Linked DNA regions of Xenopus tropicalis. The protein of the gene in region 2 interacts with the protein of the main gene of each other region in a pairwise test. Links are inferred from orthologs where the notes say so. Each region holds a gene or a part of one and is shown on either strand. Other genes may lie near its edges. The genes, in order: trim54, smarce1, ccdc172, cep63, ralbp1, mtus2 and meox2.

Region 1 (3,500 bases), on a different chromosome or scaffold from region 2:
GGAACAAGATGTAGGAGACTCCGTAAGGAGGAGGAACAACATGGAAAGAGTCAGTAGGGGGAGGAACAAGATGTAGGAGACTCAGTAGGAGGAGGAACAACATAGAGAATAGTCAGTAGGGGGAGGAACAAGATGTAGGAGACTCCGTAAGGAGGAGGAACAACATAGAGAAGAGTCAGTAGGAGGAGGAACAAGATGTAGGAGACTCAGTAGGAGGAGGAACAACATAGAGAATAGTCAGTAGGGGGAGGAACAAGATGTAGGAGACTCCATAGGAGGAGGAACAACATAGAGAAGAGTCAGTAGGAGGAGGAACAAGATGTAGGAGACTCAGTAGGAGGAGGAACAACATAGAGAATAGTCAGTAGGGGGAGGAACAAGATGTAGGAGACTCAGTAGGAGGAAGAGCAACATAGAGAAGAGTCAGTAGGGGGAGGAACAAGATGTAGGAGACTCCGTAAGGAGGAGGAACAACATGGAGAAGAGTCAGTAGGGGGAGGAACAAGATGTAGGAGACTCCGTAAGGAGGAGGAACAACATGGAGAAGAGTCAGTAGGGGGAGGAACAAGATGTAGGAGACTCCGTAAGGAGGAGGAACAACATGGAAAGAGTCAGTAGGGGGAGGAACAAGATGTAGGAGACTCAGTAGGAGGAGGAACAACATAGAGAATAGTCAGTAGGGGGAGGAACAAGATGTAGGAGACTCCGTAAGGAGGAGGAACAACATGGAGAAGAGTCAGTAGGGGGAGGAACAAGATGTAGGAGACTCAGTAGGAGGAGGAACAACATAGAGAATAGTCAGTAGGGGGAGGAACAAGATGTAGGAGACTCCGTAAGGAGGAGGAACAACATAGAGAATAGTCAGTAGGGGGAGGAACAAGATGTAGGAGACTCCGTAAGGAGGAGGAACAAGATGGGGAAGAGTCAGTAGGAGGAGGAACAACATGGAGAAGAGTCAGTAGGGGGAGGAACAAGATGTAGGAGACTCCGTAAGGAGGAACAACATAGAGAAGAGTCAGTAGGGGGAGGAACAAGATGTAGGAGACGCAGTAGGAGGAGGAACAACATAGAGAATAGTCAGTAGGGGGAGGAACAAGATGTAGGAGACTCCGTAAGGAGGAGGAACAAGATGGGGAAGAGTCAGTAGGAGGAGGAACAACATGGAGAAGAGTCAGTAGGGGGAGGAACAAGATGTAGGAGACTCCGTAAGGAGGAACAACATAGAGAAGAGTCAGTAGGGGGAGGAACAAGATGTAGGAGACTCCGTAAGGAGGAACAACATAGAGAAGAGTCAGTAGGGGGAGGAACAAGATGTAGGAGACTCTGTAGGAGGAGGAACAACATAGAGAAGAGTCAGTAGGGGGAGGAACAAGATGTAGGAGACTCTGTAGGAGGAGGAACAAGATGGAGAAGAGTCAGTAGGGGGAGGAACAAGATGTAGGAGACTCTGTAGGAGGAGGAACAACATAGAGAAGAGTCAGTAGGGGGAGGAACAAGATGTAGGAGACTCTGTAGGAGGAGGAACAACATAGAGAAGAGTCAGTAGGGGGAGGAACAAGATGTAGGAGACTCTGTAGGAGGAGGAACAAGATGGAGAAGAGTCAGTAGGAGGAGGAACAACATGGAGAAGAGTCAGTAGGAGGAGGAACAACATGGAGAAGAGTCAGTAGGAGGAGGAACAATATGTAGGAGACTCAGTAGGAGTCATAGCCCCCATGATGGCATGGCCGTGCTGTCGAGGCCCCGCCTCATCTCCACCCCCATGACATCACCCCTGCCAGGCTTTCTGATCCGGCAGGGGTGACAACTCTACAACAAGGTAGGACTATTGTTGAAGCCCCTGTGTATTTGAGGGTAGAATTGGCACTGGGTGTTGGTTCTTGTCTGGAAGTGGTTTTAATGTATTAACCCAGGAGAAGGCCTCTGTATGTAGCATTGGTGGTAAAGTGCTGCATGTTATTCTGTATATAGGGGGGCAAAATCTAATTGGTGTCCTTCTGCCCCCAGGCCTCCAATCCTCTGTGGCAGTCACGAGGATCCAGCACTGTCTCCTCAGGGGGGCGATTTCGCTGCCCTTCATGCCGCCATGAGGTGGTGCTGGACAGACACGGGGTGTACGGGCTACAGAGGAACCTACTGGTGGAAAATATCATTGACATTTACAAACAGGAATCGAGCAGGTAAGTTCTGTGGGATTGGGACAGGGGCATTTATTGGTGCATAACGTACATAGGAAAGGGGCATTTACTGTGTAAGAAGGAGATTGGCTTACCTGGTAAATCCCTTCTGCGTAAGCCCATACTGTCAGTCTAGTTAAGCTCCTCTCTGGAGGCTGGACAACCCCTCAATGATCTTGCGAAGCTCCTCCTCTTCCTGTGTCTCCCTCTATCCTATCCAAAATCAGATGGAGAAGAGTTAAACACAACAAACCTGTCGAGTCAAAGTGTTTCGGGAAGGCCAGGTACCTACAGGTAGATAGTTACAGGTAGATACTACTCCTTGTGAGGCAACACCCCCGAGGGAAGGCTCAAGCCAAGGATAGACAGGGAAAGCCCCCCCCCCAGTCACCCTGAGGAGCGGGGCAACACCCCGAGGGAAGGCTCAAGCCAAGGATAGACAGGGAGAGCCCCCCCAGTCACCCTGAGGAGCGGGGCAACACCCCGAGGGAAGGCTCAAGCCAAGGATAGACAGGGAGAGCCCCCCCAGTCACCCTGAGGAGGCGGGGCAACACCCCAAGGGGAAGGCTCAAGCCAAGGATAGACAGGGAGAGCCCCCCAGTCACCCTGAGGAGCGAGGGCAACACCCCCGAGGGAAGGCTCAAGCAAGGATAGACAGGGAGAGCCCCCCCAGTCACCCTGAGGAGCGGGGCAACACCCCCGAGGGAAGGCTCAAGCCAAGGATAGACAGGGAGAGCCCCCCCAGTCACCCTGAGGAGTGGCGGCAACACCCCGAGGGAAGGCTCAAGCCAAGGATAGACAGGGAGAGCCCCCCCAGTCACCCTGAGGAGCGGGGCAACACCCGAGGGAAGGCTCAAGCCAAGGATAGACAGGAGAGCCCCCCCAGTCACCCTGAGGAGCGGGGCAACACCCCCGAGGGAAGGCTCAGCCAAGGATAGACAGGGAGAGCCCCCCCAGTCACCCTGAGGAGCGGGGCAACACCCCCGAGGGAAGGCTCAACCAAGGATAGACAGGGAGAGCCCCCCCAGTCACCCTGAGGAGCAGAGCAACACCCCGAGGGAAGGCTCAAGCCAAGGATAGACAGGGAGAGCCCCCCCCCAGTCACCCTGAGGAGCGGGGCAACACCCCGAGGGAAGGCTCAAGCCAAGGATAGACAGGGAGAGCCCCCCAGTCACCCTGAGGAGCAGAGCAACACCCCCGAGGAAGGCTCAAGCCAAGGATAGACAGGGAGAGCCCCCCCCCAGTCACCCTGAGGAGCGGGGCAACACCCCGAGGGAAGGCTCAAGCCAAGGATAGACAGGGAGAGCCCCCCAGTCACCCTGA
Region 2 (3,500 bases):
TCAGGATTTGGGGTTTTGCAGATAAAGGATCTTTCGGTAATTTGGAACTCCATAACTTAAATCTTTTAAAAAAAATAATTTAACCATGAAATAAACCCAATAGGGCTGTTCTGCCCCCAATAAGGGGTAATTATATCTTAGTTGGGATCAAGTACAGGTACTGTTTTATTATTACAGAGAAAAGGGAATCATTTAACCATGAAATAAACCCAATAGGGCTCTTCTGCCCCAATAAGGGGTAATTATATCTTAGTTGGGATCAAGTACAGGTACTGTTTTATTATTACAGAGAAAAGGGAATCATTTAACCATGAAATAAACCCAATAGGACTGTTCTGCCCCAATAAGGGGTAATTATATCTTAGTTGGGATCAAGTACAGGTACTGTTTTATTATTACAGAGAAAATTCCATTTTTTTTTTTTTTTAATTAATTTCCTTTATTTGGTTAATATGGAGTCTATGGGAGACGGACTTCCCGTAATTTACAGCTTTCTGGATAATGGATCCCAAACCTGCACTCCCTTCCTAAACTAACTTTAGAAAAAATGGCTACACTTCGAAGCAAATTAACAGTGAATAAATTTAGTTACTTTATCCAATATATTTTAAAGGGCTGGAAAATCAAGAGACATCTGACAGGGACTTTGTGACTGCAGGAACTGCTTTCAGGCAATCAGAGAGCAATTTCTGGCTGTGCTTATAATGCACCAAAGAGCTGAAACTGCCCTACGTGAAGCCATAAGTCTCCATTATTTATTTGTTATAGTTTTTCAATTGTTTGCCGCCTTCTTCCAGCTCTTTAAATGGGGGTTGCTGACCCAATCCGTGAAAAAAAAAACAAAAAAAAAAAAAAACAATGCTCTGTGAGGCTACAGTTTTATTGTGATTTTTAACTTTCTTTTCTAATCAGTCCCTCTCCTAATCATATATATCAGTCTCTCATCCAAAGCAATCCCTGGTTGCTAAGGTAACTTGGACCCTAGCAACCAAATAGCTGCTGAAACTCCAAACTGGAGAGCTTCTGAACTGAAAATGAAATGAAATTACCTATTTAAAGTCACAACTGCTGGGGGCGACAAAAGTTAGCGCCCCCCAACCCACCCAGATACCCCAGGCCAGTGCCCGTTAGCAGAAAACCACACGTGCCAGGGCAGTTTTCTGTTAATAGGAGCCCCAGACCAGGGTATTAGGTAAGTGAATACAATCACTGGGGGGTGTCTCACTTGTGGCGGCCCCTAGTAATTGTGATTTTACTTCTCTTTCCTTCCCCTTTAAGCTCTTGCTTTATTCCTACAGATCAGAAACAGCAATATAATTGGGATGTGCTGAAAGCCCAACATTCCTGAGCAGCTACTGAGAGTTCTTCTGTTGGGCACAAGAGGGAGCTGTAACACGGTATTAGCCAGTCATAACTATATTAATGTACTTACAAACTATACTTAAGATTCTTGTTAAATTGCTGACATTTTGGCTGCGAGTTTGTTAAAGGGAAACTCCACCCAAACACAACTTTTTGAAAAGTAAATATAATTTCAAGCAACTTTGCAATAAACATTATAAAATATGCAGCCTTTTCTTGATGTTTAATGTAATAATCTGGTTTGGAGCAGTTCCCTAAGCCCCGCCCCCTGTTCCCTAAGCCCCGCCCCCTGTTCCCCTGCTGATCTGGCTGACTACTTTGTGACTCAAATAAACTGTAACAGTAGCACCTGTTCCTCAGCCTGCCTCCTCCCAATCCCACAATTCCCTGCTGCACACGTGATGTCAATAAAGAAAGGAACATCCCAGTGCAATGCATTGTGGGTTATGTAGTTCCTGCATGCTGTCTGTAAGCTGTGGGGAAGTTGTTACAATCTGTAACATCAGTGTTTTAGTCCCTCCTCCCCTGCCAGGATTACAAATGATGCAGAAAGAGAAGAACAGTTTTGCAGCTGGATTTCAGCATATAAAAATGGTATTTATTCCTACTGTTTGAAGGAACAGATTACAGGGATAGGGATATTAGGGGTTTCTGTGTTGTGTTCCGCTTAGAACAAACCTCTTTTAATAAAGAGGGAAAAACCCCTATCACATCCATGATAGTTTAGCCACTATAAAAGACACCTATTTTTGAGTCTTTGCCTCCCTGTTAGATGTCAGGCCGTCTGATATCCTACAGGTAGATTTGGTACACAAGCTTTATAGATAGACAAGGTCACTAACCGTCCGGATCCTCGGCCGGCTGGATGCTCATGTACGGCTCCCCCTTGTCCATGCGCGACTGCCTCTGGCGGCTTTCCTCCTCGAGGGCAGCTTCAGCCCGGCTTTTGGCATTGATGTAGGCAAGATAAGCAGGAGAGTTGTGGTAAGTCTTCATTGATTCGTTGTACTCAATCTAAAGAGGGGATAAAAACAAAAAAAAAAATAAAGAAATGATAAGCACCGAATATATAGTGATTATATCAGCATTTTCCTGCCTGACTGCAAATCAATACTTTCAAATGGCAATGAAATGCTCTATTCCTTCACCCCCTCTATACACCACAGTGCATGATTTTCAGGGAAAATATCTTTACTTTACTTTCTATTAGACAGACCTGAGCCTGAATGGGTGTGTTTGCATGTACACCATAGATTTAAAGGGGATTTAACCCCTATCCCAATTGTGCACCAATAACTGCCCCTATCCTGCAAACCCCTTAGTATTTGGAATGCTTTAAAAGAAAATACCTGTTAAAACTTGGCTTCCTGTCAATTGAACTAAGGAGATACGGTGAAGGAAGGAGCAGCATCAACTATGCGACGATTGATTGATCCAGCCTAGCCTTCTTTCTGTATAGGAAGGAGTCAGGCTAGACTCGATCAATCGATCGTCGCATAGTGGATGCTGCTCCTTCCTTCACCGTATCTCCTTAGTTCAATTGACAGGAAGCCAAGCTTTAGCAGGTATTTTCTTTTAAAGCATTCCAAATACTAAGGGGTTTGCAGGATAGGGCAGTTATTGGTGCAGGGTAGAATAGCCTTTTCACTTAAAAAATGTTAGTGTTACTTTTCCTTTGAAGCCGGGCACACATGCACCGATAATATCAAATGAAAGCTGTGTTACTTTTCCTTTGAAGCCGGCCACACATGCACGATAATATCAAATGAAAGCTGTGTTACTTTTCCTTTGAAGCCGGCCACACATGCACGATAATATCAAATGAAAGCTGTGTTACTTTTCCTTTGAAGCCGGCCACACATGCACGATAATATCAAATGAAAGCTGTGTTACTTTTCCTTTGAAGCCGGCCACACATGCACGATAATATCAAATGAAAGCTGTGTTACTTTTCCTTTGAAGCCGGCCACACATGCACGATAATATCAAATGAAAGCTGTGTTACTTTTCCTTTGAAGCCGGCCACACATGCACCGATAATATCAAATGAAAGCTGTGTTACTTTTCCTTTGAAGCCGGGCACACATGCACCGATAATATCAAATGAAAGCTGTGTTACTTTTCCTTTGAAGCCGGGC
Region 3 (3,970 bases), on a different chromosome or scaffold from region 2:
TGCCGGTAAATTTGTAATATTCTATAAATCCCTTTCTTACCCCACTGGCTCCACTGCCCCATTACCTTTATAAGAACAGGCCCAACCCCACTCCGCCCATTTCCTCACCCCATCTGCCCCTTTCCCCACCCCATGGCCTCATCACCCGCCCTGCCGGTAAATTTGTAATATTTTATAAATCCCTCTCTTTTCTCAACGGCTCCACTGCCCGATTACCCTTATAAGAACAGGCCCAACCCCACTCCACCCATTTCCCTGCTCCACCCACCCATTTCCCCACGCCATCTGCCCATTTCCCCACCCCATGTCTTTATTGACCCCCTGCTGGTAAATTTTTAATATTTTATAAATCCCTCTCTTTTCTCAACGGCTCCACTACCCTTATAAGAACATGCCCAACCCCACTCCGCCCATTTCCCTGCTCCACCCTATTCTGAGTTTCCCCTGAGACCCCTCTCCCTGGGCCTGTATGGAGCTGGGCACAGCCACTGTGGGCAATATGTGCCAGATAGCAGAACTCACCAGGCACTTGGAATCCACAAAGGTTCTTTATTTGTTGTGGGTGAACAAACGTTGGATTGGATAAACAAATGCCGGAGGTCAAAAGGAATATTGCTTTCCCAACCCCTGGAGTAGCTCCTCACACATGGAAAGCAGGAACATAAATGGCATGATGGGAGGAACTGACATCACATATAAGGAAGGGGATGGGAGGGTCTACAGACTTAGAAGTAAACAACTTGCAATATGACCTTGGTCCTAGGTGGCAGTATAACGATGTATATTCATATAAACCATTAAAGGGAAACGAAAGGTAAAGTCACTTGGGGGTGCCAAAATGTTAGGCACCCCCAAGTGACTTTAACCGCTTACCTCGTACCCCGGGCTGGTGCCCCTGTTGGGAGAAAACAGCACCAGCCCGGGGCACCTGGAGCGGATCGTTTCCGTGTTCTGGCTTCCTTTTCCGGAATGCCAGCGGTGGGCGCATGCGCAGTAGAGTGAAAAGCCGACTTTAATGTTTAAGTTCGGCTTTTCACTCTACTGCGCATGCGCGCGCAGCGAAACAGAAGGAAGGAAGCGCCGGCAGCTACCCCGGGCTGGTGCTGTTCCCTCCTCACAGGGGCACCAGCCCGGGGTAAAAGGTAGGTGGTCAAAGTCACTTGGGGGTGCCTAACATTTTGGCACCCCCAAGTGACTTTGGCTTTCTTTTTCCTTTAACTTTAAACATAATACACAAATATTAACTGCCCACCCATTTCCCCACCACAGCCCATTTCCCCTGCCCAATCTGTCCATTTCCCCACCCTATTATCGTCATCACTGCACCCCAAGTGCCCTCATTGATTGCCCCACCCGAAGGCCCGGGATAAAACAGTTGATGTTAGGCAGCCATGTTGGGCATGTATCTACACATAATAACTAACTTTGCACCGTGCAATCTTTGTGACGCTTATGGAGGTCTCAGCTGGTTTAATAAGCAGCTGAAGTACAGGTACAGGACCTGTTATCCAGAATGTTTGGGACCTGGGGTTTTCTGGATAAGGGATCTTTCCGTTATTTGGATCTCCATAACTTAAGTCTGCTAAAAATAATTTAAATATTGAATAAACCCAATAGGGCTGTTCTGCCCCCAATAAGGGGTAATTATATCTTAGTTGGGATCAAGTACAGGTACTGTTTTATTATTACAGAGAAAAGGGAATCATTTAACCATTAAATAAACCCAATAGGGCTGTTCTGCCCCAATAAGGGGTAATTATATCTTAGTTGGGATCAAGTACAGGTACTGTTTTATTATTACAAAGAAAAGGGAATCATTTAACCATTAAATAAACCCAATAGGGCTGTTCTGCCCCAATAAGGGGCAATTATATCTTAGTTGGGATCAAGTACAGGTACTGTTTTATTATTACAGAGAAAAGGGAATCATTTAACCATTAAATAAACCCAATAGGGCTGTTCTGCCCCCAATAAGGGGTAATTATATCTTAGTTGGGATCAAGTACAGGTACTGTTTTATTATTACAGAGAAAAAGGAAATCATTTTTAAAAATTAGAATTGGCCTTTAGAAGATGGCTTTTCCATAATTCGGAACCTTATGGATAATGGATTTCCAGATAAGGGATCCCATACCTGTACCAAATGTAGCACCACCAATGCACGGACTCATTACAGCTATACACAGAGACTTATGAATTACTGGAAATTGCTGAACATGAATTTAAAAGGTGGAAATACACCAGCCCTCCTATAGTTTGAAACGTTTGCCCTTTTGGCGTTGGTTAATGTTTACAGGCCAGGCTGATAAAATACCAGACAGGTGGCAACATTACCCACTATTACAACAGAATTACCACCACTTCCCCTTTAAACCAGACATGGGGGTTATGTAATAAAAGGTGCTAAGTTGCCCAGGAGCAATAACCCATAGCAACCAAACAGCAAGAAGAAATTACTGGTCACCTGTTTTATTGGTTGCTATGGGTTACTGCTCCTGGGCAAACTTGGTGGCTTTTATTACATGTGGGGGATAATAGTATATATTTACCTTGCATGGCTTGATAACAGTTATACTTTATAGGGGTGGATATTGTAATATCAGAGGTAATATTCACCCTCTCGTAGGTGTCGGTTCATCTCAGAGGCCTGCTGTTCTGTCAGCAAAATGTACTGGAGCAGGGAATCCAGACTCATTGTGATGTCTCCCTATATCTCCTGCCTCTCCTTATAGACTAATGTTCCTCTTCACTGCAACAAAATGTCTGACAGGATTCAGGCCTGGGCCCTCCCACTGGCTTAGCTAGGCCTCGTTGCCAGGGCAACACACAGGAAACAACAAAACTGCAGGGAAACTGCATATATATATATATATATATTTATTGATATAGCATGAATACTTTCACAAAAGAATCAAAAGTTTGTTCTCCCAGTGAATAAATATATAATAGATATTCACTCCTCAGTCAGGAATGGGAGAATGCAACTGTTTGTTTCTTGAGGGGGCTGGGAAATAACTTTAATATTGACATATATGGGGTATGTATAGTGTGTATATACAGGTCCTTTTCAAAAAATTAGCATATTGTGATAAAGTTCATTATTTTCTGTAATGTACTGATAAACATTAGACTTTTATATATTTCAGATTCATTACACACAACTGAAGTAGTTCAAGCCTTTTCTTGTTTTAATATTGATGATTGTGGCATACAGCTCATGAAAACCCAAAATTCCTATCTCAAAAAATTAGCATATTTCATCCGCCCAATAAAAGAAAAGTGTTTTTAATACAAAAAAAGTCAACCTTCAAATAATTATGTTCAGTTATGCACTCAATACTTGGTCGGGAATCCTTTTGCAGAAATGACTGCTTCAATGTGGCGTGGCATGGAGGCAATCAGCCTGTGGCACTGCTCAGGTGTTATGGAGGCCCAGGATGCTTCAATAGCGGCCTTAAGCTCATCCAGAGTGTTGGGTCTTGTGTCTCTCAACTTTCTCTTCACAATATCCCACAGATTCTCTATGGGGTTCAGGTCAGGAGAGTTGGCAGGCCAATTGAGCACAGTAATACCATGGTCAGTAAACCATTTACCAGTGGTTTTGGCACTGTGAGCAGGTGCCAGGTCATGCTGAAAAATGAAATCTTCATCTCCATAAAGCTTTTCAGCAGATGGAAGCATGAAGTGCTCCAAAATCTCCTGATAGCTAGCTGCATTGACCCTGCCCTTGATAAAACACAGTGGACCAACACCAGCAGCTGACATGGCACCCCAGACCATCACTGACTGTGGGTACTTGACACTGGACTTCAGGCATTTTGGCATTTCCCTCTCCCCAGTCTTCCTCCAGACTCTGGCACCTTGATTTCCGAATGACATACTTTGGACCACTGAGCAACAGTCCAGTGCTGCTTCTCTGTAGCCCAGGTCAGGCGCTTCTGCCGCTGTTTCTGGTTCAAAAGTGGCTTGA
Region 4 (4,129 bases), on a different chromosome or scaffold from region 2:
TGCCTCATGAGTTCCTGCAGCTCAGCCTCACAGGAGCCTTGCAAAGACCTAATGAAGATGAACACAGAGTTATAAAAAAAGCAGCAGATGTAAATAAATATGTTTATATATTGGTTTTCAGACTCACCCCTTACAGTCATACATTTAATTGACCAGTCCTCCTTAATTTTAAAGCAAGGTATAGATAAATACAAATGTTATTATATCAGTAATAATAACAGTATTAGAATTATTACTGACTTCTAATAAATGTTCACCTCAAATCTAAAACATGCTGGGCGATTAACAGAATTGATCCCACTGTCCAAACCTGTAACTTAGGTTACTCACCCCATTCTCTCTTGTTGCTGAATCCCTTGTAACAAAGCTTCCATTCCGTTTATTTAACAGCCTGCAAATGGCTATTACTAGAAAACACAGAGAGGGCACAGAAAATATTTTAGCAAGAAAAATAGTACCACTGGTGCTACATATACTGTTAGGGCATAGACACATGGGGGAATAGTCGCCATGGCTATTAAAAAAGTAAGCTGTGGCAATTAATCGCGCAATGGGCAGCGTATAAGTAGCTGCGACTAATCACAGGCAGATTATTTGCTGTGACTTTTTTCAAAAGTTGTGGCAACTAATTGCAACATCTTCCCCCTTAAGAACTATAGAAGCACAGCCTTGAGATATACAGTCTTTGCGAGTGCGCAAACACTAGACCATCCAAGAATCATGTAACACATCTCATTTTATTGGAACTTGATTAAAACCTGCTTGACGCATCTCGTGTCTTGCCCTTAGTGATAAGCATAAAACCATTCCATCTGTATATCTGGGTGTGTGATCATTCGGCACTTTTCCCTTAAGATATACAATTGGAATGGTTTTATGGTTATGACTAAGTACAGGACACAAAACGCATCAAGCTTGTTTTAATCAAGTTCCAATAAAATGAGAAGTTTTACCCGATTCTTGGATGGTCGGTGGTCGAGTGTTTGCACACTCACAAATATTGGATGCCAGAACATAGTGCTTTTATACCGCCATTGTGCTGAAAATTTTCAGCACTATTGTAGTATAAAAGCACAATTATTATTTATGATGCATGGAGTGCTGGTCCTTTATCTTCTATAAAGCTTTGATTGTGCACCTTCAGTTGGCAAGAGTATTGTGTGCAGACTTTATCTGAGAAAATATATAATATATATATATCAATCCAAATAGCACTCCAAATAGCACTCCAAGGCTCAATATTCTGCGGGGTGCACAGCCAAAATTTAACTACACAGAAAATAATAATCATCCGTGGCCGGCACACCCTTCAATACTTTATCAAAAATTTATTGAAAACATATTGTTTAAAACAGACGTTTCAGTCCTCATTAGGACCTTTCTCAAGGATCCTTGAGAAAGGTCCTAATGAGGACCGAAACGTCGGTTTTAAACAATATGTTTTCAATAAATTTTTGATAAAGTATTGAAGGGTGTGCCGGTCACGGATGATTATTATTTTATATATATATATATATATATATATATATATATATATATATATACGGATTGGAGATTTCAAAGCGACAGGCTGCTTTCATTATCTCTTAAAGTCGAGAGTCTTATTTCGATTGAGTTAGGCCTAATACATCTTTTAGGCAAAAGGAACACCCCCCAAAGGATGTTTTAGAATTCACTCTCTCACAATCACCAGAAATCCTGTCCCTTTATGTGCAGGCTATGTGCCAAAATCAGTTTTGTTACATTTTGTTTGTGCTAGAATCAATTATTTAAGTGAGCTGTGACACATTTGCTAGGAATGGGAGCCCGCACCCCAAAGACATAGTAGATTTATCAATCAAAATCAGACTCCTGACACCTGCATGAGGACAGAATGAAGAGACGAGGGGGGGAGTGAAGAGTCACTTGATTATTTCAGAAAAGCTCCAAAATCTTTAATTGAATATATTTAAGAAATGTCCTATTTGGCATGATGTAGCTTGTACATATGTTGTGCACGATGGCTTGTTTGCACAAGATACAGGATTGGGCACCATATCACACAAATTTCACACCATAACTTTACATTCTGTCGACTTTAAAAGGAATGTGATAATGCATTTTTTGTAAAAATATTCTGTCCACAAGTTACAGTCTGTGCTGGGGGGATCAGCGCTGTGAGTGATACATGGGCGCTCAGGGAATGATCCTGTACTTGCCATCTCCCTAAGCCCCAACTCGCCCAGCCCCATTCCCAGACTGGTGTCCTTTCCTTTCCATTCCTTTGTGTTTGCAGGACATGTAGCCCCAAAACCCTGAAACTCCTTCAGAAAAGATGTTTAAAGGGGAACTATTGCGATAATGAAAGTTTAATATCCCACTGCTCATTTAACAACTTTGGAATCATTTCTCCCCAGTGCTGGAAGCCAATGGAACATAAACAAACGTCCAGTTTCCATTATTTTGACGGCACTAGGCTGACAAAATCAACTATATATGAATTCACCGACGCCCATTGATAGCAAAAAGAAGCCGCACTTGAAAATAGAGGCATCAAATAAGTCTTTTCCTCGTCCCATAGTCAGTCAGTAGAGGGACCGGGTATGGCGGTGAGACCGGCACAGTAACAGGAAGAGCAGACGACCTTACCTCCCCAGCAAGGCAGCCTAGACGAGAAAAAGCGGGGAGGTTAAGGGCTAACTCCCAAATGACACTGTAGGGAACATACAGTCATGTGATCCCCATTGCGCGCTAAAGTCCCCGATCCTAAGGGTGAGCGCTTCCGGGTACACAGATCGCTGCAGTTACTGATTGGTTGGAAGCAGAGGGCGGGCTGTTTCAAACAAACCTACGGTAGCCGTACTGGGACATTCGTAACCAGAGGCATTGTCCTGGAAGTTACAGCGTGAACAGTCTCCTAATCTGCCTCTGCTTAGTGGACGAGCGTTGTGTTTGGGGCAGCAGTTTCCAGACTTTAGAGAGCCCCGCCAAAGGTTGAATTTGGGGGAGAACATGTAGTTGTAAATATAGATATCATGGGAACTTGGGCCGGTACCCTATATAAGTTACCCTGAAACGTGACCAGAGAAAGTCCCTGCTGTGCCCAGTGCACTCGAGGGTTTATTTTCTCACGATTTTTATAGATTTTTCAAGCGTCTGTATAAGGATGTTTTAACCAAGAGTGTAGGTGGGCCAGTGATATCCATGCTAGGTGCAGCCCCACTGCATTCTATTCACTTGTATAGGGATTCTTAGGGACATATACTGTATATATATCAGTGGAAGTGAGGGGTCACTCTGATAAATTCCAAAACTATCCCATACACTTGTGTAAGAGCTGCGTAGTTTCACTGTGGCACAATGTGAGCCCTAGTTCTTTATGAAATATTCCTCTCAGTGCAAAGTTATTCCAGACAGGACTTACTGAGCCTAAATCAGCAGAATATCCCAGTGCATCAGCCTGTTTTTCTTACCCACAATGCCAAGTCCTTCCTACAATTCCAGCCTAATAGCAGGTGCCACAACCTGGCTGAGGTAACAATGCGGACACCCAGGGCCACCATCAGAAATCACGGGGCCCCTCACAACAAAAATTTCTGGGCCCCCCTCCCACCAGTACAAAGGACTCACAGACATGGTACATTGGTAGCCAGCAGTGCCCCCCCCTAGTACATTGGTAGCCAGCAGTGCCCCTCTAGTACATTGGTAGCCAGCTGTGCCCCCCCAGTACATTGGTAGCCAGCTGTGCCCCCCCAGTACATTGGTAGCCAGCTGTGCCCCCCCAGTACATTGGTAGCCAGCAGTGCCCCCCCAGTACATTGGTAGCCAGCAGTGCCCCTCTAGTACATTGGTAGTCAGCTGTGCCCCCCCAGTACATTGGTAGCCAGCTGTGCCCCCCCAGTACATTGGTAGCCAACAGTGCCCCCTCAGTACATTGATAGCCAGCAGTGCCCCCCCTAGTACATTGGTTGCCAGCAGGGCCCCCCTAATGCATTGGTAGCCAGCAGTGCCCCCCAGTACATTGGTAGCCTGCAGTGCCCCCCCCAGTACATTGGTAGCCAGCAGTGCCCCCCCAGTACATTGGTAGCCAGCAGTGCCCCCCCTAGTACATTGGTTGCCAGCAGGGCCCCCCTAATGCATTGGTAGCCAG
Region 5 (3,500 bases), on a different chromosome or scaffold from region 2:
CCAGTTACATTGTTTTAATGTTGCTAGTCATGATTTTTCTTTACATGCCCTGGACAGTAAGGGGTATATTTATCATGCCATGTAAAACGTGGAGTGAAGCATTACTGGTGATGTTGCCCAGGGCAACCAATCAGCAATTAGATTTCAACAGTTAGAAAATCAAAGCAAAGCATCTGATTGGCTGCTATGAGCAACATCACTGGTAATGTTTCACTCCACTTTTTAGGGCTCTGGCACACGGGGAGATTAGTCGCCCGCGGCAAAACTCCCTGTTCGCGGGCGACTAATCTCCCCGAGTTGCCTTCCCCTGCCATCCCACCGGCGAACATGTAAGTCGCCGGCGGGATGGCAGACGCGGCGGGGCGATTTCGGGAAATCGCCGAAAAAGACTCGCGAGTCTTTTTCGGCGATTTGCGCTAAATCGCGCCGCCGCGTCTGCCATCCCACCGGTGACTTACATGTTTGCCGGTGGGATGGCAGGGGAAGGCAACTGTGCCAGGTGACATCATTAAGCGTCAGTAATAATGGTTTGATATATAAGAGCCTTGAATATCTTAAAAAAAAAAAACAGGGCTAACTTATTTCATTAGGGGGGTTAAAAGTCACCTTGGAGTTTCACAACATGTATAAAAGCACTCAGACTTATATATATAGTGAAAGGTAATCCTTCCTGTAAACAGTGCTTTACTATTTAACCCTTTGTGTCACTCGATATAGACTACAGTGCCAGCATAAAAGTACCATTATCCCAGTGCCATAGATTTTACAGATCCAGGTTTCTCTTTGATCTGTGCCACGCCACGTGTATCTTTTCAAGGTGCTTCTTGGCAAGAGCAAAGAGAAGCCACCCTAACTTATAATGCACCTGGTATTTCTCTTTGCTGCTGGTTTCACACATTTCTGGTGCTTCTGAAGGCAAAATAACTGTAGAATTCACTTGCTTTGGGTTGCTATGATTCATACATCAAGATGCTCAGCTTTAAATGGGTAAAATATAGTCCAAATTACATGCCATAGCCCATTTTTTTCTGCTTTGAAATTTGCAGACTGACAGTCTGGTTACAGATTCCTTTTTCTTTAATTGTGTCAGACGCCCAAAACTCGCCCATGCTAACAAAAATAGTTTCTTGCAAACGGTTGCAGTTTTTTCCTGGTTTATGTCTTAGTATTTAATGAATTATGTCCACTTTTAACAACTGTATCCTAATGCACACCCTCTAGTCTATCATTTAGGCTTTGCTCAGATACATGGGAAATGAGTGTATGAAACCAGTGCATGTTCATACAGATGCAGAAGCCTCACTATCTGTGTGACTTATAACCGGTACACCCACATACACACACCGCTGGTGCTAATTAACTGTGCATTTAGATATGTGAAATCCTAATATGTCCCTCTTTTTCATGGTTCATGTAGGCAACACGTATGGTTAATTAGTACTAATATGGTAATAAGTACTAACAATGATTAGTAAGGTTACCAGATCATTTGAAATATCAGGGCCCTTCTGATAAATGCAGGTTTCTGGGCCTCAGATTGAATTTATTACCATGAACAGATAAAGGTTTTCCGGATAAAGGGTTTTTCTGCAATTTGCATCTCCATACGTTTAAGGGCTCTGGCACATGGGGAGATAAGTCGCCCGCGACAAATCTCCCTTGTCACGGGCGACTAATCTCCCCGAACTACCATCCCACCGGTGAAAATGTAAGTCACAGGTGAGATGGCACCCGCTGCGCAGGCGATTTCTGCAAATCGGTGAAGTTGCCTCGCGAGGCATTTTCGTCGATTTGCCGAAATCACCTGCGCAGCGTGTGCCATCCCACCGGCGACTTACATTTTCGCCGGTGGGATGGCAATCCGGGGAAAAGTTTTTTGTAGATTTAGGGCTCTGGCACACAGGGAGATTAGTCGCCCGCGACAAATCTCCCTGTTCACCGGCGACTAATCTCCCCGTGTGCCAGGGCACTAAATCTACAAAAAACTTTTAAACAATAAATGAACCCAGAAGGATTGTTTCCATCTGATAAGGGTACAAGGTACTGTTTTATTACTACAGAGAAAAAGAAAATCAATTTTTAAAAATTGAATTATTTGATTAAAATAGAGCCTATGGGAGATGGCCTTCTCGTAATTCAAAGCTTTCTGGATAATGGGTTTCCTGATGAGGAGTCCCATACCTAAGTAAATGCAAGACCTGTGCCGTATTGTGCATTGGAAAATGTGTAGCAGAAAGACTTCTTTGAGTGTAAATGCAATTTGTGTGCAAATTAGAAATGACATGCAGCGTAAGTAATCTGTATATCGGTGCTGGGGAGTAATCTGTTAATCATGCAGTGGAATATTATGGATTATTTAACATTCACAAGTGTCACTATTGCTCGCTCACCCCTATCACTCACATCAGCTATTTTAGGCACAGGAAAGTCTCACTGCAGTAGATATATTTCTAGTCTAATTTTTGCTAATTAATATGGGATTGCTAAATACGTATGCGCTGTTAGTAGGTTCTTACCAGGTCTGTGACAATAAAGCCTATAACCTTATTTTACCGCATTTATTTTAATCCTTTCTTTTCAGTTTTACAATCTGTTTCTCCTCCTCAGATTAGTAACCGTGTCCTGTATGTGTTTTTTACACACGTCCAAGAGCTCTTTGGCGGAATCCAGATAAAGCGAGTGATTAAGCCTTTGCGCTGGTCTAACATGGCAACCATGCCGACATTGCCTGAAACACAGGAAACAATCAAGGAGGAAATTCGGCGGCAGGTTTGTCTTCATGGTTTTAGTAATTATGCCATTATCATTAGTTATACAGACACAACAAGTACTTTCCTTCTTTATTTAGAGGCGTATAACTCTTGTATTTTACACATTATGCCTCCTTCAAAATTTACAAATATTGTCCTAATTTTCGATTGTAAGTTCTAAGGCAGCATAGTTTTGTTTTCACACTTACAACTTTCCTCTTCCTCCCCATGTTAGGAGTTTATTTAACTACAGGCAATACACTCTATAAAGGAGCCATGTCTTTCCCCAGTTGTTTGAGACAGGCTTACAGATAAGGAGGAGTTGATTACTTTCTACCCCACCTATTGCTCTGAAGAAGCAGAAGGTTGAACATGGCAATGCATTGCCCCTTTAAATGTTTATATATCACGTGGTGTGCTACATCACAAAGGGCTTAGGTCACCTATTTCCCTTTTCAAGGGATCAGAACCCCACTAATTTAGTGCTTTGTATAGCTCACCTTATCTCTCTTAATCAGTGTAATGGGCAACACTGATAAAAATATTATAATTCTCTATATATTCCAGAGACCAGTGCTATAATGCTTGCTTGGATTTATCAGACATTAGTTTAGCCTCTTTTGTACATGGGACTAAATTTTTAATTGCCTCTATAAAAGCATTTTTGGTGTCACATTGTCCAGCTGATGGTGTTATAAATAAAAGCAGCCTTGATGTTTGTGTAATATTACCCACATTCATTTCTGTCAC
Region 6 (3,500 bases), on a different chromosome or scaffold from region 2:
CACTTACCTCGTCTATTGATTTTTCATTAATCTGTCCAAAATGATGTCCAGGAGGCCTTATTCCAGACACCATTAAACCAGCGGCATATATTCTTTGTTTCTGCAGGTCTGCTTTATATTTATCTAGTAGGACATTGGAAGCATTAATGTCACTGCCTAAGACCTCATGGTCTCTTGCCATTGGAACATTGCAAGCAGGGGAACCAAAAGGCATGCCTACTGGACCATATGGAAGTCTGTCTATTGTCTGAGGGTTTCTTCTAATGTAGGTAATAATCTTAGGTCGGACATGCTTGGGTTTAGGGATGATTAGAATTGGTTCAGGTGCTTCTTCTGGCTTTTCATTGTCATTGGTGTCCGTATCAGCTTTACTTGCAAGGCAAGGCTTGGAATGTATTAGTATTGGTTTTGGAATTCCACTACTACAAAGCAATTTGTTAGTGGCTTTAGGGGAAATGTTTAAGACTTGTGTACCATCAAAAGGTGGCAGAACTGAGGAAGGTGACAATCTGTCAACATGAACAGCATTAAGATCCACAGAGCTGCTCGGTGAGGCAATGCACTGATCATTAATATTTACTGCAGTCACGAGGCCTGGTAAAATGGGAGCACATGAAAAGGTATCAGTTAGATCCTTCTGGCTGTCTTTCATGCTGCCTTTTAAACCATCTGACTGATGTTTTCTCCCGACAATTGCCTTTTTGCTCTCAACTAAAGCCGTTTTATCCTTTGTGGAAGCCATGTTGCTGCTTAAAACAAAATTATTGTCACTGTCCTGGCAAAGAAAACTTTCAAGTGAACCTCTGTCTTTATGTAGAAGTGGTTTATTATCCAGGGAATCGCTGAGTGATGTTGTTTTTCGTATAAGAGGCTTGGTGCTTAGCTCTCTCCCCATATCAGATGCATATTCATCCGGCTTCTTATGTGCTAGACTAAAATGAGATAATTTAGGGCTGCTACCGAAACTCTTGTCTTCATGGTTTATGACTTTGTAACATTGGGACATATCTACATGACCCAACGGAGCATAAAGATTTGAAACTGGAGATGTTCTGGATTCGGAAATATTGCCTGCTGTCTTGGTACCTGAAATTGCAGTCATCGTACTCTGGTCTTGTTTGTGCCGACAAATTCTTTTAGACTGTAATAAGTTGGAATCTGAAATTTCTGAAGTTTTTTGTGTTTGACCCTGATATAATTGTGCTTCTGTTATATTAAAAATTACCTGAGGTTTAGAAGGGATTCTTAAATGATGGTCAGTGCTTGTGGGACTGGTATGTAGTGTGCTTGGCTTATTACCACTTGATAAGGCTCCCTCGCCTAGTGATAATTCAGGGACATCTGAGGTAGGTGACCTGGAACAAAGTACAATCTTTTTTTCCTCTGAGCCGCAACTGTGTGTATGGGAAGAGAATCCAAATAAATGGTCAACTGGTATTGATGAATTAGTTGCCCTAATCCCGTGATTTGGCATCTGTAAATACTTGGGTGGGGAGATCAAACATGGCGTTGGTGAAATACGACCTTTAGCAAAAGTTTCTGATTTTGTCGATACCATACCTGATTTCAGAAAGGAAATTCCTTTAACCTGTTCATTGTGTGATAGGTTACCAGTGTTATTACTACACATAATGAGGGAAGAGTCACTAACTCTGCTCTGAGGATACACCAAACTTCTGTCAAGCACACCCGCCTTTGAATGTCCATCAGCCTTTGAATGTCCATCAAAAGCTCCAGTTGTTTTTAAACTGCCTTTAGCATCATCAGTCACAAAATGTTTGTTAATGTCTCTTTCTATCAGGGATGGTGACTTTGGATCACTCAACGGCTGATCACCAGATGGAGAATCCTGACCAGAGGTGAGCGATGTACTGTGCTCCTCACATGACTGGGAAAGATCTGACTGTGATGTGGACAACCCCCCTGGTTTTTTAATGCTGCTTGAGACCTGAGTTTTCCCTGTTGGGTATATTTGGTTGGCATTGTTATCACCTAAGCTGATCACATTTTTGTTGTCAACTTGATCTTGGTTGCTGTTAATGGAATTTCCAGTTGAACATTCCTTGCTTGAAACCATAGGTGTGCTCATTTTGGAATAGCAGTTTCATAAGTACCACAGATTGAAATTGTGTCACCTCTAGACAGTTGTATTAGTATGTAACTTATTAAATTGCCGTCATATTTCAACATTAGTGCCAACTCAATTTCTGTCCACGTTGACTTATGGCTTTGTTGGCCTCAGTGCAACATGTTGCATGTGTGAGCCTGTAAAAGAGAAGAATATTTATGTAAGTGTACAGATTCTCCATAAGTATATAAAAGACTAACCAACATGTAATACAAGGTACTAAGCAATAAGATATTTGTTTTCAAACAGGTGACTAGTCAATGCTACTTGCTGATTGGTTGCTATGAGTTACTGCCCCTGGCACCATTTATTACATAATTCCATAAGGGAAACAGATGTGTTTTAAAAGTTTTTGCCATAGTACAAAGGGTAACAAACATTTCAAAGCATATTCTCATGATTTTATGTTGGAATCTCATTAAACAACATCTCTTATAGAATGGACTTGATTCCCAGAGCAAGTTCACCTACTTATTTGCCTCCTACCCCACTTTCTACCAACAATTCCATTCCCTCTTGTTGCCACCAAAATTTTTCTCCTGCTCCTTCAACCTTCAAACTGGAATGTATTTTCTATATCAGCACCCGAGGGTTCATGTCTAGGGTAACAGCTTTAGGGGAGTAACCCTGGATGTGGATTAAGGGGGACAAAGCTGTTTAAATTAAAAAAATCCTCTCATCTGAGGGGGGTGCCCTACTCTTTAAAGTTTTTGACATTTGGCACAGACTTCACATGACTGAATCCGCATAGGGCTGCATCCAACCCAAATACATTGCTGATCCAACTTTGAAGGATTTTCTTTTCACTGTGATATGCTAAATATAAACCCTACTGAAAGAAGTCACTGACTAGTTCTATGACCAGGTCATGGAACTCAGAGTTGCCTTCCAGCACCCATATACCTGTATCGTAAAGAACAGGTATATAGAAATGTTATTTCTTAAATAAATCACATATTAATGAGCCATATAACCCATGCCATGTCATTAAGAACCAATCCAGTTGCAATTCAGTAAAGCTTCTTTACCTAACAAAATAAATAACTGAAGATTTACTCTCTTGGGAGAGCTGTGGTGGATAGCAATGTAAAATATCCTTGAACTTGATACATATACAGGTGGATCCATGGCTATTCTGTTGCGTTACCTAATATTTATGAAAATTCTAAATGCTTTATATGGACTTACCCTACACTAAATACCAAAGGGAGGTTCAGTTCTGTTAGGAAAAACATCAGTTTACTTTCTTCACTGCAGACTCATAACTCTTTAGAAAAGTGACATAGTGGCATGTTATTGCATCAATATTACTATTTAGAAGGTGTCATAACTGTCCTAGGGAATACAACAAACCTAATAAATAGTAATAATT
Region 7 (3,969 bases), on a different chromosome or scaffold from region 2:
AAACTACAGCATTCTCGTCACAGCCTAAGGCTAAAGGCTGATGATTGCAGTTCAGCAACCCCTAGACGCCCATAGTTTAGATTTTTCTATGTCGAAATATGCACATATAATGGATAGGACACGGTCCGGGCCATTAACTTTGACTCTAGATTGTATAATTTGGATAGGTATACTGTTTCACAAAGCCATCCTTTCATTTCTCCAGAAACCAAATGCCCTTAAAACAATTGTTTGTGAAGTGACTCTAAAAGAAAGAACAGCAGTTTCTCAAATTCGCCAGGACCCAGTTATTGGATACACCGTGGTTAATGAAGCTAGTTTGTCATTTTTGCTCTGTGATTAGGTATAGATTTCCTGGTAATTTATTTTCTTTAAACGCTTGCCAATGTTATCTTCCCTAAACAGACAAAACAGAAGGGGGGGGAGAGGTTTAAAAGCATTGCAAGCCTAGACAGACTAATTAAACACTGGAATAATAACTTTTGAAAAGTTGTCTTGTTTAAAGCCCCAAGCCTGGAAGAAAAAATAAGGTCAAACATATGTCACGAATTACTCATTTGTCATTCATGTCTTATAATTATTGAATAACCATTCATCCCAATCAGAATATCTCATAAGACTTAATTAGGAATGGTAAGCAGGTCATCTCCAATTATGACTTCGCTTTCACTTATTCCACTGACCACTTGTCTGATTAGTGAGTTAATATAGTTGCACTTATCTCTCGCCATCATCTAATAGCAGGATAAAGCTACTCCACTTTATATATATAAATATATATATGATAAGCATCGAAATCACCAATGAACTGGAACATATAATACATATTTCAGTTATGTTTATATTCAGTGTGATATACTATGTTCATTTCTTATGCTACTGATATGCAAGTATCACGTATATTGTATTTCTTTTACTAGAATTTGCCATTTTAAATGGAAATGGAAAAGAGGATTTTAGTGTTCATGTCTGTTTGGGGTATTTCAGGTATGACGGAAGGTGTCTGTTATGAATCATTTGACTTTTTCAGTTCTAGATATTGATTGGTAGTTATTCATATCACTATTGATATGCAGCGGATTAAAAATGTATATATTATTATGGTCTGCCAGAGATTCTGATCAGTGAAAGTGATGTAATAGGCTCAAAAGAACTGATTTCACTGAAGTGGCTTATGTGACTGAATTAAAGCAAATATTACCCATCACTTTGCACTTTGTTAATTAAACTCTTAATTTGATGCAGACTGTGTATATGGCTTTCCCAGAGGAGGTGTTAGCTGATAATATAATTAACACCTTTCTGCAGTTGCTGGGACGGGCAAAAAAGGCTGCCCTCCCTGGGATGAAATCTCTCTATTTTATTCCTGCAGGAAGGGGGAATGGGCAGTCTAAATGTGCCAATTGTCTTTTTATCTGCCATAAAATTGCATTTGTAATAGTTTGGCTGCTGAGAGAAACAGGAGTCAACAAGTGATCTCCATTTCTTGTTATAATACTGCAGTGATACTGGATCAGGCTGAATAAGGATGGAGTGCAGCACGGGTTTCTGAAGGATTGTGTCAATAAATAGATTGTAATTTCAAATGAAAAAATGATACTTGGATTCAATCTTGCTTATTAAAGGAATTTGATATTCTTTTGACACTGACAGGATTGTTACATAGGAATACACCAGGAAAGACTTGAAAAGAGGGAACTATTTCTGCCCGTTCGTATTGTAATGTAATATACAAGTATTTCCTGTTTAAATAGAAACTTTTTACTTATAATATGTCTTGCATAGCGTTTATAACATTCCTATAGTGTTAGCAAGCTGCACATGTCTGAAATATTGTATACATGCTAGTTAGCAAGTGTCTAACTAGTACTTTTTACACTGCTAAATGCATTTGCCAGTGAGTACGAACACAAAGCTTTGAGCAACAGAAAAACCCCTCTCTGCTCAATTTGAACTGTCAGAAGAAGCTGCCGTATGCATGGATGCTAATGGCATATCCTAGGCATACAGTTGCTTAGGTTTGCACCACTGCTGTGCCACTTTCTGCAATGCAGTGCTAATCCAATACAAGGCATCACAATTACCAGCTAATATATATTTCCTTTTTGCTGCATGCTCAGACATTGTAAACACAAATATCCTTACCTGAACTGTCACTTTTTCTTTTGCCAGTCCTCTTTTCTGCTTCTGCCGGGGAGAGGGTCTGTCTGCCATAGTCCCCTGTCACACAAGCTGCACCCGTTGAGCTGTTAGTGCCCAGGCTGGATGTGTTTGAACACAAAATAGAGGGGCTGCCACTTAGATCTGGAGGTCCAGATTCCTGCTGAAGGCAAAGGCTATGTCTGGTGGAGGCAGGAGGAGATGACATCTGAGGAATGTGCCAATTTGATTGCAAGGTCTGGTGCTGTTGTTGCTGGTGATGATGATGATGGTGATGATGGTGATGATGTCCTCTGTGATGCTGGCTCCCAAACATGCCCTCCTCATTGGGATAGCCAGTTAATATGCAAGAGGACGAAGAAGAGGATAAATCAGGATAGGACATGTGGTCGGATCTTCCATGGAGGGCAAGAGAAGACTGGGCAAAGGGGTGTAAGCCCTGAGAGGTGGCATGGGGGCTGCGCAGGCAGCCAAACAGTGTGTGTTCCATGGCATACAAGTTTCAAGTTGCAGGCTTGAGATTCTGGCAGGATTAAACTCCACAACGCTGTCACTTTTCACTGTAAAATGATATTTTTCCCAAACAGTAACGGCACACTTTCAGTACAGATCAGATAATCCAGGTCTTCAGCCTGGTGGCCAGTCTCCTGTGCTTAAACAGTTTGCTCTGACCAAGATGAGCTTTTGCAGAGCTGCTCAGATGTCAAGAGTAGGAGAGGTTAAAGCCAACAGAAGGTGGTCCCAAGGAGCTGCTTTAATGGGGGAACAGCTAAGAGAGGATATAAATAGTGTGTAATGTGAGCTGGGGGCTGGCTTAGCAACACAGTACTGACCACAAACTCTCTCCAAAACTTTAGCACTCACAGATCCTTCCAAGTTGCGACAGCATCACTGCACTGTCTATGTACAACTTAAACCGGTTCTGCCCATTGCTAATATGGATATAGAGAAACTGCACGCAGGTCTTAGTAATTCATATACTGACACAATGACAAAAAGCTCATTCTACCGTAAGAAATCAATTGGAAAGTATTGTGCCATGCCAAGCAATACATGCCATTTTATTTCTTTTTTAGTGTTCTGTGTAGTGAATGTGATACAATATAAATAGCTTTAACTAAGGCACCATTAACCTACTGTTACTGAATCTATAACTCCCAGAATCCCCTGCCAGCTGCACTAGGTTATAACTTTTTACCAACATAGGACATATATGTGCAGTTTTATACAGCGGGAAGTAAGCAGTATACATTGTTCTCTTTTGGCGAGAGTAACGCAGAACCTGAGTAATGTTCTCCTCAAATTGTTTTCAGAAATAGGAAGATGTAACATCCTCTTAGTAAATAGGAAACATGTGTGTTTTCCCAACTAAAAGTCACACCTGTGTTTTTCAGATGTTTGTCCCTAAAATCTGCTCCAGGTACTGCTTACTGCACAGTAACACAATATTGTTCTATTCATCAGCATAAATACTCATTAACCCCTTCACCTATGGCACAGAAGCCTAGTTTGTTGTACCAGCATAGAATCTTTTATCTAAAATGCTTGGGATTTGAGGTTTTCCAGATAAGGGATCTTTCTGTAATTTGAATCTCCACACCTCAAGCCTGCTAAAAATCATTTAAATGTCAAATAAATCCAAAAGGATTGTTTTGCTTCCAATATGGATTCACACAGCTTAGGTACCATCAAGTACAAGGCACTGTTTGATTATTACAGAGAATGAATAAATCACTTTTAAAAATTAGAATTATTTGCTTAAAGTGCAGTCTATGAGAGGTGGCCTTCTCATCATTCAGAGCATTCTGT

Evidence for each region.
Region 1: the proteins of smarce1 (region 2) and trim54 interact in binary tests that used the Homo sapiens proteins (3 or more experiments, as listed by UniProt). The two-hybrid records come from large-scale screens. The link is inferred for Xenopus tropicalis from reciprocal best matches to the Homo sapiens genes SMARCE1 and TRIM54.
Region 3: the proteins of smarce1 (region 2) and ccdc172 interact in binary tests that used the Homo sapiens proteins (3 or more experiments, as listed by UniProt). The two-hybrid records come from large-scale screens. The link is inferred for Xenopus tropicalis from reciprocal best matches to the Homo sapiens genes SMARCE1 and CCDC172.
Region 4: the proteins of smarce1 (region 2) and cep63 interact in binary tests that used the Homo sapiens proteins (3 or more experiments, as listed by UniProt). The two-hybrid records come from large-scale screens. The link is inferred for Xenopus tropicalis from reciprocal best matches to the Homo sapiens genes SMARCE1 and CEP63.
Region 5: the proteins of smarce1 (region 2) and ralbp1 interact in binary tests that used the Homo sapiens proteins (3 or more experiments, as listed by UniProt). The two-hybrid records come from large-scale screens. The link is inferred for Xenopus tropicalis from reciprocal best matches to the Homo sapiens genes SMARCE1 and RALBP1.
Region 6: the proteins of smarce1 (region 2) and mtus2 interact in binary tests that used the Homo sapiens proteins (3 or more experiments, as listed by UniProt). The two-hybrid records come from large-scale screens. The link is inferred for Xenopus tropicalis from reciprocal best matches to the Homo sapiens genes SMARCE1 and MTUS2.
Region 7: the proteins of smarce1 (region 2) and meox2 interact in binary tests that used the Homo sapiens proteins (3 or more experiments, as listed by UniProt). The two-hybrid records come from large-scale screens. The link is inferred for Xenopus tropicalis from reciprocal best matches to the Homo sapiens genes SMARCE1 and MEOX2.

Annotation. Positions count from the first base shown.
Region 1 is NC_030681.2:162,394,851-162,398,350, reverse strand, and holds part of trim54 (tripartite motif-containing protein 54), read left to right. Parts: intron 1-2,007; coding exon 2,008-2,180; intron 2,181-3,500. UniProt on the Homo sapiens protein: May bind and stabilize microtubules during myotubes formation.
Region 2 is NC_030686.2:8,351,395-8,354,894, reverse strand, and holds part of smarce1 (SWI/SNF-related matrix-associated actin-dependent regulator of chromatin subfamily E member 1), read right to left. Parts: intron 2,377-3,500; coding exon 2,205-2,376; intron 1-2,204. UniProt on the Homo sapiens protein: Involved in transcriptional activation and repression of select genes by chromatin remodeling (alteration of DNA-nucleosome topology).
Region 3 is NC_030683.2:4,841,080-4,845,049, reverse strand, and holds the start of ccdc172 (coiled-coil domain-containing protein 172), read right to left. Parts: upstream 2,801-3,970; 5' UTR 2,696-2,800; coding exon 2,617-2,695; intron 1-2,616.
Region 4 is NC_030681.2:130,322,197-130,326,325, reverse strand, and holds the start of cep63 (centrosomal protein of 63 kDa), read right to left. Parts: upstream 2,801-4,129; 5' UTR 2,518-2,800; intron 408-2,517; 5' UTR 375-407; coding exon 331-374; intron 49-330; coding exon 1-48. UniProt on the Homo sapiens protein: Required for normal spindle assembly.
Region 5 is NC_030682.2:104,596,814-104,600,313, forward strand, and holds part of ralbp1 (ralA-binding protein 1), read left to right. Parts: intron 1-2,607; coding exon 2,608-2,769; intron 2,770-3,500. UniProt on the Homo sapiens protein: Multifunctional protein that functions as a downstream effector of RALA and RALB. As a GTPase-activating protein/GAP can inactivate CDC42 and RAC1 by stimulating their GTPase activity.
Region 6 is NC_030678.2:154,663,722-154,667,221, forward strand, and holds part of mtus2 (microtubule-associated tumor suppressor candidate 2), read right to left. Parts: intron 2,266-3,500; 5' UTR 2,090-2,265; coding exon 8-2,089; intron 1-7. UniProt on the Homo sapiens protein: Binds microtubules. Together with MAPRE1 may target the microtubule depolymerase KIF2C to the plus-end of microtubules. May regulate the dynamics of microtubules at their growing distal tip.
Region 7 is NC_030682.2:36,891,089-36,895,057, forward strand, and holds the start of meox2 (homeobox protein MOX-2), read right to left. Parts: upstream 2,801-3,969; 5' UTR 2,651-2,800; coding exon 2,146-2,650; intron 1-2,145. UniProt on the Homo sapiens protein: Mesodermal transcription factor that plays a key role in somitogenesis and somitogenesis and limb muscle differentiation. Required during limb development for normal appendicular muscle formation and for the normal regulation of myogenic genes.